3 linked regions of the Tamandua tetradactyla genome follow. The protein of the gene in region 1 purifies or fractionates together with the protein of each later gene. This does not show direct contact. Links are inferred from orthologs where the notes say so. Each region holds a gene or a part of one and is shown in the gene's direction. Other genes may lie near its edges.

Evidence for each region. Proteins that work in one complex are often made in the same cells at the same time.
Region 2: the proteins of KRAS (region 1) and RPL15 purify together in Homo sapiens (affinity purification with mass spectrometry; 3 studies listed by BioGRID and IntAct, with this or other methods). This does not show direct contact. The link is inferred for Tamandua tetradactyla from reciprocal best matches to the Homo sapiens genes KRAS and RPL15.
Region 3: the proteins of KRAS (region 1) and PRDX1 purify together in Homo sapiens (affinity purification with mass spectrometry; 3 studies listed by BioGRID and IntAct, with this or other methods). This does not show direct contact. The link is inferred for Tamandua tetradactyla from reciprocal best matches to the Homo sapiens genes KRAS and PRDX1.

The regions. Positions count from the first base shown.
Region 1 is NC_135333.1:88,116,120-88,123,658, reverse strand, and holds the start of KRAS (GTPase KRas), read left to right. Parts: upstream 1-4,528; 5' UTR 4,529-4,702; intron 4,703-7,539. UniProt on the Homo sapiens protein: Ras proteins bind GDP/GTP and possess intrinsic GTPase activity. Plays an important role in the regulation of cell proliferation.
Region 2 is NC_135341.1:64,395,697-64,403,530, reverse strand, and holds RPL15 (large ribosomal subunit protein eL15), read left to right. Parts: upstream 1-4,814; 5' UTR 4,815-4,942; intron 4,943-5,040; exon of another isoform or gene 5,041-5,064; intron 5,065-5,563; 5' UTR 5,564-5,573; coding exon 5,574-5,745; intron 5,746-6,219; coding exon 6,220-6,356; intron 6,357-7,196; coding exon 7,197-7,502; 3' UTR 7,503-7,553; downstream 7,554-7,834.
Region 3 is NC_135328.1:177,773,815-177,781,123, forward strand, and holds the start of PRDX1 (peroxiredoxin-1), read left to right. Parts: upstream 1-4,289; 5' UTR 4,290-4,395; intron 4,396-4,791; exon of another isoform or gene 4,792-4,921; intron 4,922-6,625; 5' UTR 6,626-6,636; coding exon 6,637-6,742; intron 6,743-7,309. UniProt on the Homo sapiens protein: Thiol-specific peroxidase that catalyzes the reduction of hydrogen peroxide and organic hydroperoxides to water and alcohols, respectively.

The DNA.
Region 1 (7,539 bases):
TCATCTTTGGCACTCACTAGATACTTAGCTTGTAGCTCTTTATACTTTAAAAATTCATCATGTGTGCAGTTTGTATGGAGTAGGTGCTGAGTAAATGTTTGATAATGATGAAAGAAACGTGTAAGGAAGATTAATTCAGCAAAAGCATATGGTCTGAATTGAAAAACAGAAAGCCAGGAGGTGGGGAAGTCAGTGAGGAAGCTGTTCTAGAAAAGCAGGTGTGAAGGAAGGAGTGCAGAAAGAGGCAGATATGAGAAAATACCTGGAAAGTATAATTAAAAGGTGCCATAGTCAATGTGAATGGGGACTTAGTTAGAAATTAATTTGTTTCCTAGTTTAAATGATTTTAAGGACAGTGATGTTACTCAAGTAAGATGGAAAAAATAGGAGAGGGAATTAGGCTGGGAGGCTAAAATGGAGAATTTGATTTTGGACTGGCATCTGAGATGATGACAGGATTTCCATTTAGAAATGGTCCAGGAAATTGGCCAGAGGAGAATGAAGGAACTATGAGAAGACAGGGCTGAGGTTTTGCTATAATTTCATTCATTTCAGTAAATATTTATAAAGGACCTACTATGTGCTGAGCACTATAAGAAAATGCAAATAATGAAGACAAAGTCTAATGAAATAAGTTTCCAGAGGAGATAATGTCTTGGGTAAGAGAACTAAATAGCACCTACTCAGTGGTACAAATTAGCCACCTGAGAAAAGAGGTTGTTCTGAAGTGGAATCCATGAGAACCTCCACAGTTGGCTCCTCCAGTGTAAGTTCCCTGGTCTGTGCACTGCTATTCTGGTCCCAAGATTCACAAATAAACAAAGGCAATGGTCTCCACCAAACATAAAGAAGTCCAACCACCAGTCAGGCAGCCTGTCAAAGAAAATTGCATCCCATAAAGAACCTTCCTTTTGTATAATGATCGACATTTGCAGCTAAATCCTTTCTCTAGGGATCTTTTGAATGTAAGTCACAGAGAGTGGTCAGTAGAAGCATAGACAGCAGAAGAAGCTGAGATTATAGATGAAAAAGCAGAGAGATGCTGATTCATGAGAATAGAAAAACTACTAAAGAAGGAGCAATAGATGCTTTTTATTGAAGGGGATGAATGGGACTTTGGGGTCACAAGAACTGAAGTTGACCCCTGAACTGAACAGAAGTTCCCTGACTGATGGTCTAGTTTTCTAAAATGTCCTTGTTTCCTTAAAACAATCCTTTGGCATCTGCAGCACTCTGAATATATCTCAGCCTTTTATATCCCAGAAGAGCCAAGCTAACCCAAGGTTATTTCTATTGTTTTGAAGTTTGTGTATGTACAGAAGGGGGTATCTATCACATGAAGGAAAGGGTCACCATGATCTCCATAAAACAGGATCAGAACGATATGCATATGTGCACGTGTGTATGTAGCTGCTTTTGCACAAGAGTATAACAGTAGAAACTTCAGTTACATCTTAGGGCAACCTGGAATTCCCATGTTTATACTTGTTTGTTATTCTCTTTCTCTTTTCCCACTGTGATAATAGTACAGGTCTGTGTGATTGTCCTTGGGGAGAGCAAAGAAAAGGAGAGCCAGGGAGACTATTCAACACAGTGGCCAGGCTTGGGGGAGAGGAACCCCGAAAGACAGCAGAAAGTACAGATATCAAGAGGAGATGAGAAGAATTTGAATATCTACATCAGAGTTTCTCAAAGGGCAGACTGCTAACCAACAGTCTAACATCCCCTCAATCGTTAAAGATTTCTGGCCCACCTTAAACTAACTGGATGGACTCTCTAGTGAGCCTAAGCGTTTGAGTTTCTAACCAGCATCTCAGATGATTCAAGAAGCACTGAAGTTAGAGAACCACTGCTCTAAGTTCTGTGTAAAGAAAGAAAGGGAGCAATGGTGGTGGTCGGGCTTTTGGCTCCTTAAAAAGCATGCAGGACTGAACGCTGAGGGAGCAAAACAGAAGAGGTGAAGTTGGAGTGTAGGGTGCATGAGGGAATAGTGGGGCACAGATTTGCTTTGGGAATCATGAGCCTAGAGATTCTAGATATAATGAGACCATGTGGACGGATTAGGTTTCTGCTAATGCCAGAATGTTTATAATTAGCGTAAAGTGCTATATAAAGCTATTTCCTCCCTCTAAACTATAGTCCTTTTAAGATTTATGGAACATCAACTATAGGGAGAACTCTATTAGCTACTGAGAGAGAATACAAAAGCTTACCATGTACTTGAAGTTGCACAAAATAAATGTTCTACAGTACCAAGCAACATATAAATAAGTGCAAATTCATTCACTTTATACAAATTAATTGTGTACATTGTGTACCAGGCACTTTTCTAGGCTCCTTAGCGTGTGGTTTATCAGAAAGGTGACCTGGATGAGTTTAAAGGTTGACTTTTGTAAGACGGAGATGACAGAAAGTGACTCTGTTCAAGTGGAGTCAGAGTTTAGAAGGAAGGCCTCATTCATTTTGCATTCTATAAATATTTACTGAGTGACTTATTTGTGTCAGAGACTGTCGTAGGCACTGGAAACATAGCAGTAAGTAAAACATAAAATCCCTGTGCTCACTGAACTTCACATTCTGATGGGAAAGAGACAAAGATAAATGTTATATGGTACATCAGAATGTGATGAGTGCTCTGGAGAACAGTAAAGCAGGTGGAGAGAAAGGATTTGAGGGTAGAGGGGGAAATTTCAATATCAAAGATGATCTTTAGGGAAGACTTCATTAAAAGAAGGCATTGAACAAAGATTTATAATAGGTGAAGGAGTAAGTTTTGTGGATATATAGTGGACAAATGTTCCAGATGGCGGGTTGCAAATGCAAATTCCCTGCAGAAGAAGCCTGCCTGAAGGGTTCAAGGAACAGCAAGGAAACAGTGTGTGTGTTCACAGGAGGAAGGAAGGGAAGAATAGTAGAGTGAGAGTTCAGAGAGGTAAGGAGTGGGGGGGTGGGGTTAAATCTCTCAGGCTTTTTAAGTCTTTGAAAGGACTTGAACTTTTGTGTTAAGTGCAAGGGGGCCAGTGGGGAGTTAGGAGCAGGAGTACATGATCTGACATAAAGATACGTCCCATTTTAGCTGTGTGAACTTGAGCTCAATATTTAACTTCTCCAAATTTGTTTCCTCACCTGTAAAATAGAGAAAAAATGTTCTACTCAATGAAATTGTTGCAATACTTTATTTATACATTTAGCAAATACTTGTTATAGATCAGGCACACTCTTTTCCCTTCCTGGCCTTCTGCTTCTTCTCTGTTGCCTCTTCTACCTGGTACCAGGGTGCTAGGCAAGGGAGACAGGAATAAGCCTTGCTGATTAACAGTCCATGTAAACGGTAGGAAGTAAAGGGTGACAGCTGGTGTAAGGCATTGTTTAACAGACATAATAGCTGGAACTTAAAAAAAAATTATTTTATTGGTATTGGATGATATGAACTAGGGGGAGAGATCTGGAACTCAGAGGAGTGATCATATTAAGTATAGGTGCTGGTTTGCCACGCCTGAATCTTCAAAATTCTCCAGAACAATTTATGTTTCTAGGTATCTAATCAGAGCAGACTAGGGATAGGTTTACATTTTTAATCGCTACCTTGTTTAATGTGGATAACTCATGAACTTAACTGATTAATCTTCAGTCTTCTAATTAATGTTTGAATGATTCTCTTTAGGCCTTAACTGTCAAGGGCACTTCTACTTAAGAACAGTTTGTGTTCTGCTTGGGCTTTCATGGCATTGGGTTACATTTGAGGTCCCGTTTTGGAGCGATCTTCTGATGGCCTCAAAAATGTCAAGAAAGACATTTTCTTCCCCCGCCCCCCCCCCCCCCCATTAAGATTAGTGACTAAAAGGTTTGTCACATGTCATGTTTGTTGAGCCTGGGACTAGATTCCCAGCCTCTGAGTGCTGATCTTCGCAATAATCATGAAGTGATCAGAAAGCCCCAGGATGGGTAATGAATGCTTAGTTTCTTCCTAAGTCACTGAAGCCACTTTTCACATTTGGTGACTCCCTTATTTACATGCAATAAATGATGGTAATTCAAGGTGCACGGTTGTTGGCCGATCCGAGGGATGACAGGATTTTTGTAGCCTCTCTGTGTAAGTGGTGCGTTGCGATCGCTCAGACGTCTCTGGCGTGCAGGTAACCACTGCAGTTCCGTCCGGGTCCGAACCTGCGGGTGCCTGGCTAGGAGGCGGGAAGGAGTGGGGTGCGGGTAGGCGCGCAGCCCCAGAAGCCCCACCTCCCAGCGAGGCACCACCCACGGCCACCTAGCCCCCCCACCCCCACCACAGGGCCGTTCTATCTTTTCCCCTTACACCCGTCCAGCCTCCGGCCTCCTCCACCGGCCTGGCCTCCCCCTCCTCGCCGCGGCGCTCGCCGACTCCCTCTCTTCCCTCTTCCCACACCACCCTCGGCCGCTCTCTCTCCGCAAGCTGGCCTGAAGAGGAATCGAGCGCGGAACACATCGATAGCTCTGCCCTCTGCGGCCGCCCGGCCCCGAACTCATTAGTGTGCTCGGCGCTCGATTTTCCTAGGCGGCGGCCGCGGCGGCTCAGGCAGCGGCGGCGGTGGCGGCGGCGGTGGCGGCTGCTCGGCCAGTACTCCGGGCCCCCGCCATTTCGGACTGGAAGCTAGCAGTGAGGCAGAGGCTCTGAAGGCGGCGGGCAGGGGCCAGAGGCTCGGCTGCTCCCAGGTGCGGGAGAGAGGTAAGGCGCGAACCACCCTCTCTGGGCCCCTACCCCAGTCCCGACCCTTTTCGCCGGCGCCGGGTGGGGCCGGCGGCTACTGAATGAATTAGGGGTCTCCGGAGAGGCGGGGAGGGGGCGCCAGCGCGGAGTCCCCGCGGGCGGGTGGGCGGGCGGAGGTCTGCAGGGGGAGGCGCGGGGACGCGGCGACGCGGGCAGTGAGGAATGGGCGGTGCGGGGCTGAGAAGGGTGAGGCTAGAGGCGGCCGCCGCTTCTGCTGCTTCCTGGACGGGGAACCCCTTCCTTCCTCCTCCCCGAGAGCCGCGGCTGGAGGCGGCCGGGGAGAAACTCGCGGGCCGGGTCAGCTGCCCGGTGGGGCGGTGGGGTGCTCTGGTGGTTACTACTGATGCGCTGCCGTCTCCCCTCCCCCTCGTCGTCCTTCCCTCTCCCGGCTCCCGCACCTCTTCCTCCCTTCCCAGCGCTCGACCGCCTCGGTTTCTGTCTTCTCTGCTGCATCTAGCATCTCTAGGACGAAGGTTTAAACTTCTCCCTCGAGCGTACGGTGGATGGATAGTGGTCCTTTCCAGTTTGTAGGGGATGTGTGGGTAAAGAGAGATCACGGTTTGGAAGAGCATAGAAAAGTGCTTTGAGACCACTGTCTGAGGTTATTGTGTTTGGAAAAAATGCATCTGCAGCCGAGTTCCTGACTGCTCCCCTCCCCCATGTATGGGCTGTGACATTGCTGTGGCTACAAAGGAGGAGGTGGAGGTAGAGATGGTGGTTGAAGAACAGGTGGCCAACACCCTACACGTAAAGAACGAACCTGTGATCTACAGTGAAAAGGAAAAAGTTAGTCCCAGGAGGTCTGTTTTGCTTCGTCAAGTTAAAACACACGCAGAAAACCCATAGAGCAGAAGCAGGGCTTTTCCCTTGATAGTTGAAGGGTGTACAAAGCAATAGCTAAAATAGTACTTGAAGTCTAATTTGTCTCTTTTCCTTTATCCCCCTCTCTTCTATTTACCCTCATCCATACAAATTTGTTGCCCGTCCCAAGAGTTATTATAATACTTCATTTAACAGCACTCATGATTCTTTTAACTGGCTTACAAGAGGAGTAATTGTAGTAATCAGCCAACTAACTGCCTGAAATACTCCTTGGTATGTGCATGTTATAGCTGAAGTCCTAAGCTAGCCTTTTAAGTCTGGTATTTCTAATTTTAGAAAGGTATTTCTAATTTTTATCCAGTATATATGTTAGGTTTGTAATGGAAAAAAAACTCACTTAAAAAGAAATTATAAAGGGAAAAGTCTATTCCTAATCACGTCAGAGTTTACCATTTATGACTGGTGCCACTCTTAGGTGACTAATGTCCAAAATGCTGACTTGAATTTAATAACTATAGAAATCAAATATGATTGATACCAGTATGGCCCTTTGAAGCTGTAAGCACCACAGGTGTACTTGGTTTTCAGAGAGCTGATAGATGGTAATTCCATTTTATGACAAGTAAAAGTGATAATTTTGTTTTTCAACAAAATTATTGGGTTCTGGTCCCAGTTCCACCCCTTTCTAGCTTTTGTAACTTTCGGTGAGGGGGTTCCCTTCTGGTCTATGATTTTCAATAAGAGTCTTTTGCAACCTAGTTCTCTCTAGTGGATTTAAATAAAACTTGGTTTTTAAAATCTGATAGGATTTTTCCCCCTGAAGTAACCACTGTATAAATAAGTAGATTGGAAGGTGTGTGTTTCTCCAAATCTGCACATGCATGTACAGCTGAGCTCTAATCCAATATCTATCCACCATATCATCTAGGTTAGCAGACTTTTTTGGTCTCAAGATAACTGCACACTCTTAAAAATTGTTGAGGGTCCCAAGAAGCTTGTGTGGGGTATATCTATCAATATCTACCATATTATAAATTAAAACTGAGAATTTAAATTTATTAATTTATTTTTAGAAATAAATAATAAAGTCATTACAGGGGGACATGGATAATTATATTCTTTATAAAAAATAGCTATTTTTCAAAACCAAAACAAAAATTGGTGAGAAGAATGCCATTGCTTTGCAGTTTTGCCAGTCTCTTTAATGTGTAGCTTAATAAAAGAGATTTGGATTCTCATCTCTGCTTCTGCATTCGGTCTACAGTGATCTCGTATCTGGGAGACTCTACTGAACACTTGTGTAAGAATGAGAGTAAACAGGGTAAATAACATCTTGGTATTATGATGACAATAGTGTTGGCTCCTCATTTCCCCCCCAAATCCTGAGGGCTTCCTCGACCACACTTTGAGAATTGCTGTTCTAGCTATCCAGACTGTTCTGGGAGTGGGTTGAGAGGATCCATTTGGTAGGATTCTATTCATCTGTTCCATTTGCTATGGCTTACACTTAGAATCAAAAGTAGGGGCAAACAGGATAAGTCATGTTTGTAGTGACTCTCAAGGTAGCACTAGACAAGCAACAGGTAAGGACAGATGGAGCAGAGAAGTGGGCCAGGAGCTGTAATACATCAGTTCTCTGATAACAGCAGTTTTCTTGTCTGTAGTGCTCTTTGTGAGAGGGCTCAGGAATAAGATGAAAAAGTAAATCATTTGACAAGCCAGATTATCTTTCTGTGTATATGTGTGCGCTTTTTAGCTAATTCTTGGTCTTCGGTTAAATTGGATGCTGCAGGTCTATAGTGTTTATCCACAGTATATACATGTTTGTTAATTTGGAACTACCTTATAATAAATTATTTGCATTTACTGGCATTCTTTCTACATTCATTCCTTATTTATAAATAGCACCATGTATTTATTGGGAGAAAGAAGATAAAATTAAATGTATTCATTTTACTTCTAAAGGTAAAATG
Region 2 (7,834 bases), on another chromosome or scaffold:
AAGGCATCAAAATTGGGAAGGAAGAAGTAAAACTATCACTGTTTGCAGACGATATGATACTATACGTCGAAAACCTGGAAAAATCCACAACAAAACTACTAGAGCTAATAAATGAGTACAGCAAAGTAGCAGGTTACAAGATCAACATTCAAAAATCTGTAGCATTTCTATACACTAGCAATGAACAAACTGAGGAGGAAATCAAGAAATGAATCCCATTTACAATTGCAACTATAAGAATGAAATACCTGGCGGGCCGCGGTGGCTCAGCGGGCAAGAGTGCTTGCCTGCCGTGCCGGAGGACCCCGGTTCGATTCCCGGCCCCAGCCCATGTAAAAAAAAAACAAACAAACAAACAAAATATAATAAAAAAAAACAAGAAAATGTTTAAAAATGTTTCCCTTTCTTCCTCCCTTCCTTCCTTCCATCCTTCCTTCCTTCTCTGTCTTTCCTTCCCTTCCTCCCTCTCTCTAAAAAAAAAAAAAAAAAAAAAAGAATGAAATACCTAGGAATAAATTTAACTAAAGAGACAAAAAACCTATATAAAGAAAACTACAAAAAACTGCTAAAAGAAATCACAGAAGAACTAAATAGATGGAAGGGCATACCGTGTTCATGGATTGGAAGACTAAATATAGTTAAGATGTCAATCCTACCTAAATTGATTTACAGATTCAATGCAATACCAATCAAAATCCCAACAACTTATTTTTCAGAAATAGAAAAACCAATAAGCAAATTTATCTGGAACGGCAGGGTGCCCCAAATTGCTAAAAACATCTTGAGGAAAAAAAACGAAACTGGAGGTCTTGCGCTGCCTGACTTTAAGGCATATTATGAAGCCACAGTGGTCAAAACAGCATGGTATTGGCATAAAGATAGATATATCGACCAATGGAATCGAATAGAGTGCTCAGATATAGACCCTCTCATCTATGGACATTTGATCTTTGATAAGGCAGTCAAGCCAACTCACCTGGGACAGAACAGTCTCTTCAATAAATGGTGCCTAGAGAACTGGATATCCATATGTAAAAGAATGAAAGAGGACCCATATCTCACACCCTATACAAAAGTTAACTCAAAATGGATCAAAGATCTAAACATTAGGTCTAAGACCATAAAACAGTTAGAGGAAAATGTAGGGAGATATCTTATGAAACTTACAATTGGAGGCAGTTTTATGGACCTTACACCTAAAGCAAGAGCACTGAAGAAGGAAATAAATAAATGGGAGCTCCTCAAAATTAAACACTTTTGTGCATCAAAGAACTTCATCAAGAAAGTAGAAAGACAGCCTACACAATGGGAGACAATATTTGGAAATGACATATCAGATAAAGGTCTAGTATCCAGAATTTATAAAGAGATTGTTCAACTCAACAATAAAAAGACAGCCAACCCAGTTACAAAATGGGAAAAAGACTTGAACAGACACCTACCAGAAGAGGAAATACAAATGGCCAAAAGGCACATGAAGAGACGCTCAATGTCCCTGGCCATTAGAGAAATGCAAATCAAAACCACAATGAGATATCATCTCACACACACCAGAATGGCCATTATCAACAAAACAGAAAATGAAAAGTGCTGGAGAGGATGCGGAGAAAGAGGCACACTTATCCACTGTTGGTGGGAATGTCAAATGGTGCAATCACTGTGGAAGGCAGTTTGGCGGTTCCTCAAAAAGCTGAATATAGAATTGCCATACGACCCAGCAATACCATTGCTGGGTATCTACTCAAAGGACTTAAGGGCAAAGAAACAAACGGACATTTGCACACCAATGTTTATAGCAGCATTATTTACAATTGCAAAGAGATGGAAACAGCCAAAATGTCCATCAACAGAAGAGTGGCTAAACAAACTGTGGTATATACATATGATGGAATATTATGCAGCTTTAAGACAGGATAAACTTATGAAGCATGTAATAACATGGATGGACCTAGAGAACATTATGCTGAGTGAGTCTAGCCAAAAACTAAAGGACAAATACTGTATGGTCCCACTGATGTGAACCGACATTCGAGGATAAACGTGGAATATGTCATTGGTAACAGAATCCAGCAGGAGTTAGAAACAGGGTTATATAATGGGTAATTGGAGCTGAAGGGATACAGACTGTGCAACAGGACTAGATACAAAAACTCAAAAATGGACAGCACAATGATACCTAATTGTAAAGTAATCATGTTAAAACACTGAATGAAGCTGCACCTGAGGTATAGGTTTTTTTTTTACTATTATTATTACTTTTATTTTTTCTCTATATTACATTCTATATCTTTTTCTGTTTTGTTGCTAGTTCTTCTAAACCGATGCAAATGTACTAAGAAACGATGATCATGCATCTATGTGATGATGTTAAGAATTACTGATTGCATATGTGGAATGGTATGATTTCTAAATGTTGGGTTAATTTTTTTTCCGTTAATTAATAAAAATAAAAAAATAAAATAAAGAACATTAAAAAAAGGATTTTTCAAACAATGTTGCACGTAATAAAATACAATAAAGCAGATGCCACCTTACTAATCTTCTATTCATTCAGCAAATACACTTATTGAAGACCTACCATAATGTCAGACATTAGGAATAAATTAAGCAGCCAAAACAGACACGATTCCTGCCCTCAGGAATCTCAAAATCACTGGAAATAAAAACTTAAATCTCGCAAAACATAGAAATTAGCAGTAATTATTCACATTAGCAGAATCTTCCTTCTAAATGATTCATCCAACTTTGTAGTAAGCCATTCTTGACTCCTTTCTTTTATACCCTACATACACAAATCTTGTTAGCTCTACCTTCAAAACACATATACGGTTGCACCACTTAACTTTTATCATTAACTGAAGGCATCTGAGTACAATCTTCTCTCACCTGTTTCCCTTCCCAAAGATATGGAATCCTAATCCCCAAAACATGTTATTTTATGTGGTATAATGGACTTCGCAGATATGATTAAGTACCTTCTGTTGGGAAAATTATCTTGGATTATTCAGGTGGGCCCAAGGTAATCAGAAGGATCTTCATTCTTACAAAGATTTGAGGTTGCCAACCTGCCGACTTTGAAGATGAAGGGCAGGATTGGGACCCAAGGATTGCAGGTGGCCTCTAGAAACTGGAAAATGCAAGAAAACAGATTCTTTCCAAAAAGCTCCAGAAAGAATGCAGACCTACTGACACTGTGATTTCAGCTTTGTGAGACCTCTGACCTACATAACTGTTGGATAATAAATTTGTGTTTTTAACCAGTAAATTTATTACAGCGGCAATATGGAACTAACACAACCTCTTAACAGGTCTCCCTGTTTGAACTCTTTTCCCCTTCATTTTAGGGCCAAAGCAAAATACTTTTAAAACGTAAATCACATGAAGCCATTCTTCTGCTCAAAACCTTCCAAAGGTTTCCAATTTCATAAACACTCAAAATCCTTTTAAGAACCTTCACCTCTCTGAGGGAATTCTCTACTTTCTCCTACAGTTGAGAAAGCCAAATCACCTTCTTATTCCTCTGTTAATCCTGGCGTGCTCCAGCTTTGGCCCTTTCCCCCTGCTTGACATTATTCCCGCTCTGTCAAGGCTCACATCCTTGAAGTCTTCTCAAATGTCATCTTCTCAAAGAGACTCACTCCAAACTCTCTATCTAAACTTGCTAATCCTACTCAATACCCCTTATCCCTGCCCCACCTTAATTTTTTTTCCTTAGCACTTAACCACACACAAACACAACACATATCTAATTTATGATATTTATATTTAGTGCCCGTTTCCAAGGCTAGAATTTCTGTCTGCGATGTTCACTGCTGCATTCCCAGCAGTTAGGACAGATCCTAGTACACATTAAGCACTTAAAATACATTTGTTGAATGACTAAATGAACCAGGTGATAGCTCTTAGAATGAAAAAGCTGCGATTAAAATAAGATAAAATATGACCCACTAATGGAGAAAAAAAAACGAAAACTGTTAATGATTTCGAATATAAATATGACTCTCTTAAACACTGACCACATTTAAACCTATAATTTGATAGGGAATTAAAACCGCAAGCCTACAGCAAGAACGAAAATATTCCGGAAACGCAAAAAAGGCAATAAACTATTTTTCAGTTAGGAACGCAGCGGCGTTTGCCAGCATTTCAGGATTTTCTCGACGTTTTTTCCGAACACACTCGCACTTGCCTAACAGGTTTGGCAAATAAAACATTTTGCTCTTCTAAAAAACCGTAGTTGTGAGGTAGCAAATCTGGGACCAAGTCCGAAGGTGCCGAGTCGCCCTTCCCCGGCTCCCGGAATCTTTTTCGAATAAAATTCCCCCGAGCCGGGGCCTGCGGGGATTTCAGCCTTGGAAGACCGCAAGAGGCACAGCCCGCGGGCCTCAGTCCCACGAAGGCCTCGGTTAGGGGCTGGAGAGGCGTCGCGGGCGTCTGTCAGAACCCCGTGAGACCCCAAATTTCGGCGCCCGTCCTGACAGAGGAAAAATCACACCCGGGAGACCGGACCTACGTCTCAAGTGAGGAGTCCGCGATGCGTGAAACGGCTTCGCACACCTCTGCGGAACCTGATGACAGCGGCAGGCACCACCTCACGGTGCTCAAAGCCCGCGGGCTTTGGAGCACCGCCCCCAACTTGCCTCTTCCCAGCGGCGGGACTGTCCCGCACTCTAGCAAGCCGAGGCCTTACCACCAACACACCTTTCGCAAAGCCGCGACCTCTCAGGTTCGAATTCTGCGGAGCAGGGGGCGGGACGATAGGGGACGCTACGCCCAACCCGGCAGAGCTCCAACCATAAGCTGAAGCCAGAACTGCATTTCCCGTGAGGCTCTGGGCCGCCTCAGCCTTCCACCGGAAAGAGGTTCGCTGCTGTGGGGGGAGGAGCCTAAAGGGAATTGTGGGAGAAAGGCTACTTCCTTTCCGTCTGGCGGCAGCCATCAGGTAAGCTGTGGCCCGGAGGAACGCTTATCCATCCACCGCTAATCTCTTTTCGCCTCAGCCATCCAAACTCTCCTACCCTGCGTCCTCGTAGCTCCTCCTGCTTCCTGTGCGGCGCGAGTTCGGTCAGGATGCGGGGCAGTGCGGAAATGGAGAAGAATCCCCTGGGCAGGCTAGGGGTAGATGTGATGGCGGAGCGAGTTCGCGCTGGGCCCGGAGCCTGAGGGAAAGGGTGATGTCAAACTGGGGAGTGGGAAGCCGGGTCTGAGGCGCCGTGAGGCTAGAGCGATTGGTGGGGGTGGGGTAAGTGCTTTTTCTCGAGAGTTAGCGCGCGGCGGCGTCAGTATCTTCTTTGGTATCAAACCCTGGTTTACGCTGTAGCCTACCACTCCCGTTGTTACCCGCCCCTCAGTCTCCAAGCAAAGCTCCATTCATTCGTTTAGCAAAAACGTGCCTAGCGGCTCTTCTAGGACGCGGAGGTGGGGGTTGGCCTGACTCTCCCCTTCAGATCGTGAAGAGCCATTTAATTCCACTGACTTCCTTGTGCCTGGTGGGGAACTAAGATGGACGGGTGGGGGCTTCTAAATGGATGCATATTTTCTAATACCCAGTTTTATCTCAAAGGTAAGCCAAGATGGGTGCCTATAAGTACATACAGGAGCTATGGAGGAAGAAGCAGTCCGATGTCATGCGCTTTCTTCTGAGGGTCCGCTGCTGGCAGTACCGCCAGCTCTCTGCGCTCCACAGGGCCCCCCGTCCCACTCGGCCTGATAAAGCGCGCAGACTGGGCTACAAGGCCAAGCAAGGTGTGTGGTCTCTGTGCAGATGGTTGGGTGTAATTTCTTGAGAAAAGCTAGTAACTGGGGATTAGTACGAAGCACCGTCGCACAATGTCTTCACAAAAGGCTTTGGCAAAAGCCATCTTCTGGTTCAGCTAGATCCAGACTAGTAAATGACTGAACACAATTGTCTAAAATGGTGTGCCAGAGTTTATAAATCTGTATTAGACTGGTCTAAACCAACTAATGAGTGGGAGGGAGAAACTTATCTACTTCCCAAATGATTAGTAATATCCAACTCAATAATATATAGAGAACTTTGCAAGATACTGGGATGTGTGTTTTGTTTTTTATTTTTAAAGAAAACTTCATACCCTGGTTTTGAGTAGTTTTATTTCCGTAAAAGATGAAATCTATTTGGTGTTGAAGCTTTAGTGACAAGTCATTGAGTCTCCCACCCTTGAGACTTTCTTTAAAACCATAATGATCCTTTCTGTATAGGTTATGTCATCTATAGGATTCGAGTGCGCCGTGGTGGCCGCAAACGCCCGGTTCCTAAGGGTGCAACCTATGGCAAGCCTGTCCATCATGGTGTTAACCAGCTCAAGTTTGCTAGAAGCCTTCAGTCTGTTGCTGAGGTAAGTAGTTTTTATTTCAGGTAGTATTGTTAGATGGTGAGGGAGAAGGACTTGAGCAAGTTTTCTGATATTTATTTGTATAAAATAGGATTTTGGGAGCTTTACTAAGTAAAAAGCAGTTGCTGTCAGCATATGAAGACTCTGTCGCTTACCTTTCTGGTCTTAATATATAATGGGAATGTTGGGTTTTTCAATTAGTGTGAACCTGTGGAACCTTACCTTTTGAAAGATAGGAAACTGTCTTGAATAGATTCCGAAGGTCTATAGAGTCTGCATTTATTCATGTCTCTGGTCTTATTTTTCAATATTTTTTTCTGGCTTAGTCAGTTAAACTGCCCTGCTGTAGGGGTTGGCAAACCAGTGTGTGCCCCCGCCCCCCCCTTGAGCTCCCTTCTTGAAGGGTTGTGTTTTTGTTTTGTTTTTAAAAGGACAGGGGGCAATGAAGAATATGCAAGAGACCAAATATGACCTGCAAAGCCTAAAATATTTTCTGGCCCTAAAGATTTGCCAACCTCTCCCAAATTATATTAGAAAAAGATAAGGTTCCAGAATCCTGTTTTTTAGCCAGTTATTGGTACCTTTACATGCTTTAGTTAGGGAGGAGATTTTTAAATCTAAGGATGTTAGTCTGCCATACTACATTGTCACTGAACTTTTTTTTATTTCATTTTAAGTATGAAATAAAAAAGTGCTAGTCACTTGGGGGATACTTAGTAAATATTTGAGTAGCCTAGTGTACAATTGCAGTTTCTTGTATAATGGTAAACTAGTTAGAATTCTAGCTTTCTAATTGCCACTGTGAGATATGTGAGTAACCTTGTGCCTGTTTTCCTATTCTAGGAGCGAGCTGGACGCCACTGCGGGGCGCTGAGAGTCCTGAATTCTTACTGGGTTGGTGAAGATTCCACATACAAATTCTTTGAGGTTATCCTCATTGATCCATTCCATAAAGCTATCAGAAGGAATCCTGACACCCAGTGGATCACCAAGCCAGTCCACAAGCACAGGGAGATGCGTGGGCTGACATCTGCAGGCCGCAAGAGCCGTGGCCTTGGAAAGGGCCACAAGTTCCACCACACAATTGGTGGTTCTCGCCGTGCAGCTTGGAGAAGGCGCAATACTCTCCAGCTCCATCGTTATCGCTAATATAAGTAAAGTTTGTAAAATTCATACCTAATAAACAATTTAGGACAGTCATGTCTACTTAAAAGTGTTCTTTGTTAAACAGTAGTTGTCTGCAGATTGTTTCATGAATATATATATATTGTCAAATTATGAAAGTTAAAGTGCAATAATGTTTGAAGACTATAAGGTGATGGTGTATCTTGTTTCTAATAAGATAATCAATTTTGTTTTTGCGTTATCTTATTAGGGAGTTATATGTCAGTGTTTTAAGATGCCATGCTGTGTGGTATTGGTGTAAAATAAATACTTTGAAAGAAGAGCACTGAAACTAGCTCTTTATATAGATTTGTTTG
Region 3 (7,309 bases), on another chromosome or scaffold:
TACTTTTATACTCATATTGAATGGCTTTACCTGTTAGCTAATCTGTTCTGATAGGAAGAAAGAACAATGGCTGTTGATGAGTCAGGTAACCTACCACAGCAAATTAGCACAAAGATGTAACAACTGCTTTGTTAAGCAAAAGCCAGATGATGTCAAAGGACATTGTATGAATAAAGGTTTCACTAATCTTAAACAGAGAAAAGTGGTAGGAGAATTGAGTCATTATCACAGGGTGAAGGCAGTATATAGGTATGTGGAATCCAAAAGGAGCTACACTGTATTCATGGAAGGTATTTGCTCGCAGAAATCTCATCTTATATATTTCATCCTGCAATAGTTCAGCAGTAGTAAGGGCAGGAGCAATTAACATGGAAATAACTTTCCATATTGTATCATGGGGCAACCTATTGAATAAATGGTTTGAATGAAAAATTAAAATGAAAGTTAATTAAATTTAATCAATTAAACCAACATTAGAAGTCCTCAACAATGTTTTTCTTTTTACAAGGGACCACATTACTCCTGTTTGAGAAAACTACCTTAAGATAATAGATGGAGGGAGCTAAATTCTATGAAGAACTGGGCTAGGAACCAGTGCTTTGCCCAGTGAATAAGTTATAGTCGCTTGAAATGGGCAGAGAAAATTATTAAAAAGCCTCACTTCTAAGAAATAGAGCAAAACAGGATTTATGCAAACATTTTCTCAGTAGCTGCCCTCACCTCAGGCAATTCTTCCTAACAAAGCCCTACCCAAGTCCCTCATCAATCAACAACTTCATTAGTTTTTTTTTTTTTTTTAATTTAAAAGATTTTATAGGAAATTTAGTAAATTTCAAACTACAGTTTTTTTTTGTTACCTTGTTTCAGGTGCAATACACTTCAATGATGATGGCGGTTACTAGAGGAAACAGTAATTATTCCTGGGAGAAACAGTTTATTTTCATGACTGGCACTTTGCCATAAAATGCTGTTCTTTTTTAGCTGTTTTTGTTCCTTTGATCTTTGATTGTTTTTGTTCCTTCTCCCAACCCATAGAAATTCTCTGTGGTTCTGGTCTTGGATCACTTCTTTCCACTTCTCAGGGACCTCATTTATTCTCACAGTTTCAAGTATCCTTGATATTGTCAGAATCAATATAATTATTTATGATGTCAGAATCAATATAATTCTTTACGTTATTTAACAAATCCTATTGTACTTACCATGAGCCAGGAATCACGCTTCTAAGTATTAGGGGTCACATGAATACAATAGGAAGGGTTCCTTAAGTTTCCACATATCCAACCGACATGTCTTCTTGGCCATTTCCTCATGGAACCCCAAATTCAACATGCCCCAAAGTGGGGTCTTTATCATCTTCCCCCAAATCTGTTTCACATTTCTGTAAATTGCACATCTCTTCATTCAGTTCCCCTGGGACTCACTCCCTATAAATGATTCCCAGTTCTTGCAAATTGGGAAAATCTGCAGTTCTTGCAAAGTTCTTGCCACCTAATCCCAACTTTCCACACTTGGCACACTGCCTTCACTCAGACTTTCTACCTCTTTTCTCCTAGTCCTGGTAACAGCCTGCTTACTGGTCCCATATCTTCTTGGTCCTCTAAATCTATTCTCTATGCAGCTGCCAGAATGATCAGTAACAGAGCTTGATGTGGACATTCTTATATTCAAAACTCTTTAATCACCCACACCTCCTGATATAAAATCCAAACTCCTCAGTCTGGTTTATGAGGTGCATCGTGACCTGTTTCTGCCCACATTCTTTCCTCTACGTTCTAGTCCTTGGCATTTGCATTCTACTAATATTGAACTACCAGTAGTTCCCCAAACACATACTGTTTCCTATCCTGCTCTGTTCTCAGCTTGGAACCCCTTTCCCTGATCTCTCTCTCCCTAGCTAGCTTTTTAGAGTTCCTTCAACATACATCAGTATTCTTATTCTTCTTTGATGTCTGATGACAAAGCAGAGTGTTAAATAGAAGCACAATGAATGTGTTAACTCAACTTCTGTGCTGTTGATTTGCTGATTCTCAAATCTACATCTCCAATGACAATCTCTGGACACCACCACCTGAATATCCTATAAGCATCTGAAATGCTGTTTGCCTCAAACTAAACTGATTATCTTCTCCTTTAAGAGTAGATTTCAGAATCATACCACCTGTTTAGACCACTGTGAGCTGTGAGGCACAATGCTAGGGGACACCTTTACATTATAGTTCATGTAAATATTCCATTTGAATATTATGCAACCCGATGGTTCTGCTACCCAGGTTAGAAGCTGACTTCAATGGATGTTAGCTGTGACCTTGTACAATTTCCCAAATTTCTTAGGCATCAGGTGCCTCATCTGCAAAACAGGTAGTACTCAATAAATGTTTGTCATTATTTTTAACCTAGAACCTGCGTATCCTCCAATGTCCCCTATCCCATTGGTTAATGGCATCACCCTTGATTATGTTGCCAAGATAAGAAACCTAGGATTTAACCTACCCCTTCTTCTTATCTTAAATCCTGTAGAAATAACCCTTGTATATCTTCTCTGCTTTCCATCCCTGCTGCCAATACCCTATGATGGTTCTGAGTCTTCTCTTGTCTGAATCTTTGCAGTAGCCTCTTAGCTGTTCTCTTTGCCTTTATGTCCTAATTATTAAGTTCACCCATCACACAGCTGCCAGAGCAATTTTCCTAAAACACAGTTCAAATAATTTAATTCCACATCCCCCAAATCTTCAGTACATTCTAATATTTATTAGGCAATTTTCCCATGCCATTTACTGGCTAGGTTCTGGTACTACAAAGACAAATAAAACAGGAATAGTCCTTCCCAGACAGACTACTAGTGAACAAACGAGGACAACATAATGAGATATGTGTCAAAATAGAGCTACAGATATGTATCAGGTCCTGTAGGAGGATAAAAGAGAAAAGCCTCTACCCCATTTTGGTAATTTTACTATTATCTGGGGAAGGAGATTCCATAAACATACATACACAAGTGTGCAACAGATTTTTTCTTTTCTCAGAACTATCCTCCTATTTAAATTTTTTATATAACCAAGGGGTTGTTGATCTTTCCTTGGGCCTAGATAACCCTTTTGGCTCTTTTTATGGGGGTGGGGTGGGGTGGGGGGTAAGGAGGTGCAAGGGCCAGGAATTGAACCCAGGTTTCCTGTATGGCATGTGAGAGTTCTACCACTGAAGTACCTGTGGACCCCACTCTTTTGTTTCTTAAATGAAACAAAATAAACCCAAGGGCCCAGCCCATGGCCTGGTGCATGGTGAATACAATAAATGGTCATTTTCTTCTGGCTGAAGTGTGGCTGTGTGCTTTTGTTTAGTCTGATCATAGCAATAAACATCCAGCATTAAGCCCAAAACAACTCCCTCCCCTACGGCCCCCCACCACTGAAAATGAGTAATGCCAAATAATTGCTCAGCCTTGGAGAAAGAAAAAGTAACTACAAAAATCATTACTTTTGCAAGGTAGGATGAAAAATACCAAAAAAATTGGAAATGCTCAGCCAGCATGACACAGCACTTCCCATTTCTTATCCACGCTATAACTCCAAGGGAGTTAATAAGATGGGGGAGGGGTAGAAGCCCAGAAAAGGGGACACTAGATTATTTATTAAACACTGACTGACTGAGTTCCTCTATCAGGTATTGTTGTGACCTGGGGACACAGAATGGATGTGATCCAAGTACACTATCCTCCAGAAAGTCTAAAAGCAAAAGGAAGCTATGTAAACAAGTAAAACAGCTTAAAAGGTTTTTCCCCCTCCTTTGATACATGGACTATATTGCTTGGGCACAATGGAGGGAATATCAATTCTGGGGACGACCAAAGTTTAGGAACAGCTTCAGAGAAGGTAAAACTTGAGCTAAGTCTTGAAAGACTTTTTCTCTGGGCCAGTTAGGAAGCAACAGGCTCTTCAGGCTTGAACAAAATTCTAAAGGGTTGCAACAGTTCACATCGTTCAGAATTATAATTCAGGAGGACTAAGAGAGTAATAATAAATAATAGCTAACGTTTCTAATGTATACTAAGAGCTAGGTACGGTGATAAGTAATTTACGCAGATAGCTAATATCAGTTAATCTTCACAACAATACCATGAAATATTAATATTACTCCCAATTTTGCAGGTCAGAAAAAGTGAGGGTTAGCAGAATTAAGAATCCTACCCCAAGGTCACACAAAACGATAGTAGCTTTAATTCAAGGAACTGACTACAGAGCCCCAGTTTTTTTAACCACAAGTCAGAAGAGTGACATGATCAGATTTCACAAAGATTCCTTCCAGCCGCAGAGTAAGGGATGCATGGGAGATGGAAAGCAGCAAGCCTGTGATCTGGGTGAACGACGAAGGAGGGTGTCTCAAAAGTTAACAACGGTGAGGAATCTGGCAGAAGCTTCGGGGACCGAGACGGATTTGAAAAACATTTAGTTAATGTTCTCCGGGCTTGGTGAGGAACTGCCTTGGTCCTCCGTGGCAGCAGCGAGGACTTTTAACCAGGTTTGGGCCCTGAGGGCACAGCGCGCCGGGGTTCCAGAAGCAAGGGAATTGCACCTACCTCCCTATTCCCGCCCCGCAGACATCCTAAATTTAACGAAGGCTTTTGGGTTCCGGGCGGACGAGAAAAGACCACGCTCTCGCACATCAACAATAAACGGCGGGAAAAGGTGATTGATGGTTTCCGCGCTCACACCGCCCCCGGCAAGGAAAATGCTGAGTCATTCTAGCGGGGTGGGGGTGGGGGGCGGGGCGCAGGGCAGAAACCCCCTCCTTATCTCCTCTTCTCGCACCCCCGACCCGTTTCGACTCTCGCGAGAGCCTCACAAGTTATATAGACAGCGCCCCGCGCGGACTTTGCGCGTCCTCTTCCCGGCTGTTCTGCGTAGCTTTCTTTGGGTATTTGGTGAGTAAGTCCACCGCGTCCTCGGTGGGGCCGAGCGTCACTCACCCCCCCCACCCCACCCCACCCCCGCCGCCGCCTCCCCTTCTCCTTGGGGCTTGCACGGGCTCCTCTGGAGGTGTTGTGGTGGTTTAGGCGGCCGGGGGAGAGCCTGGCGTCCTACGATCCTCGGGCGACATGCGCACCTCCCACGTGGGCCCCCCCCTCGAGGGTTGGTTGAAGATGGAGACTTTCGCCGGCTCCAGTATTCGCTTATTCCGAACTGGGGGCGCTGGTTGGCTTGGAGGGGCGGGGTGTGTAGTGGGGCAGCTCTCCTCGACTGGCCTCCCGAGGGGCGGGGCGGGTTCGGGAATCTTCTAGAATGAACCTGGAACCTAACCTGTGGCTGCAGAGGGCTGCCTTTTCTTGTTGGTCGTGTGGTAGGGTAAACGCCATTTCCTGCTCTGAGCTGTGACTTGGCTGTGGAGCCTTGAGTACCTTGCATCCCTTTTCGTTCATCATGTTCCCATCTGCAGAGTGAGATGTGTTTTAGATAATTCCACATGCTGTCGCTGAAGACTGCGCACTCTTATGCTGGAGCTTTCCGAAGTGGATTTAGGGGTGTGGCCCTGGCCTAAGTTATTGGGCAGATCCCCTGAGGGGGCTGCACCGGTGGGAAGTCGAGCAGCCTTTACCCTTCGGCTGGGGGTGGGGTGGTGGGGGCGCACCTTCAAAAGTAGGTTTGGATGAGGCTATATTTGTTAGGGTCACACCCCGTAGTTTGGTTTCCTATTTGCAGCGAGCCTTACTGTTTCTTTGAAAGGGTGTTACAAGATTAAAAAAACAAAAGAAAAAACAGGCAGTAACAAGTGTCCCATGGTCGATCCTCGGCGTTCTTACCTAGTTTCTTTTGGCTCTCTTATTATGAACCAAGAGCTTCAGGACCTACTGGAAAAATAGGGTCTTGGGACTTTCAAACAGATAATTTGCTGGGTTGAAGCTTATCCTCATTATCTTGGTGTTGACCTGGGTAAGTCTAGTGCAACATTGTTTTTTATCAGTGAACTGGTTTTTGCTCTACTTACTTTCCCCCCATGATTTTGGCCTTGAGGTCAGAAACCCACTTTTGAAAGGACTTCTAGGGCTAAACAGAAGACAAGACCAAAATCCTGGTCTTGCCTCTTAAAAAGTCAGGTTGGCTTTAAGGTGTGGATTTGACACACTGGCCTAGGAAACAGTTCATTCGGGCTTCACGCTTTATGAAGGCACGTGGAGGCAAATTCTGGAGAAAGGGTAATATGACCACGTTAGACATTCAGTGTGCCATTGTCCATATAGATTCTGGTTTGAGGGTCTGCACTTCCTTTTCTTTGCTTCTGTTCAGTAATGCAGAAGAAATGCCATTTCATAAATTGATGGTTCAGAAAAAGTGATAGGGGTGACGTCAACCTATAAAAAAATTATTGTTTTAAGTGAAAACAAAGACTGAGATTCAGACTTGTAATAACTGGTTTGTTCCAAAAGCGGAAAGCTCAGATTCTGGTCCTTCCATTGTGTCCCCTGGCTGCTGGTTTGTTCTTTAAAAGAGAAAAACAAACAATTAGTGCATGTATCTAGAGCCAGTGGATAATTCCTTGCTTTTTCTGCAGCTAAATCCCTAAGTAAATGAAGGCTGCTGGTTTAAGTTTGTTTCTGATTAATCCATTTTCTCTAATTTGTCTTTTGCAGCTGATAGCAAGATGTCTTCAGGAACTGCCAAAATTGGGCACCCTGCCCCCAACTTCAAAGCCACAGCTGTTATGCCAGATGGTCAGTTCAAAGATATCAGCCTCTCTGATTACAAAGGTAAGAGTAGTTACATTGGACTTATTAAAATGGAATTATTTTATAATTTAGGGATGGCTAGTTGGATTTCTGTATCTCTGTTATACTCAGTTGTAAAATACTTTGTATCTCCTAGGTCAAGGTGCTTAAGTGAAGTGATGATCACATGATAAACAGTGATCACAGGGTAACTATCCTAGGTCTAGGCATCTGCTGGAGAAAGCACATGCTTCATTATGTATCACATATTAGCTCAATTTGATTTCTTAGTTACTCTTTCTTAATTGTGTAATTGGGGAAAAATTATCATTATTAACTCATTATAAGAGGCTTTCCACATTTTAAATTTGATTGCATCTGGACCTTTAAGTCTATGAAGCTGTGATACTACTTGTTCAGTAGTGATTGTAAAATGTGTGTCACAGCTGCTACATTATTAGGCAGAGGGCTGAGGACCAATCCCTTCACTATTTTGCCACCAAAAGAAAAGCCGATGTCACAGAACAGTTTCCCTTTCTGTTGTCATAGTTTCATGCAGACATTTGGCAAACTCGAAAGAGGTTTTCCATTTCATTGTCGTGCAGTCCC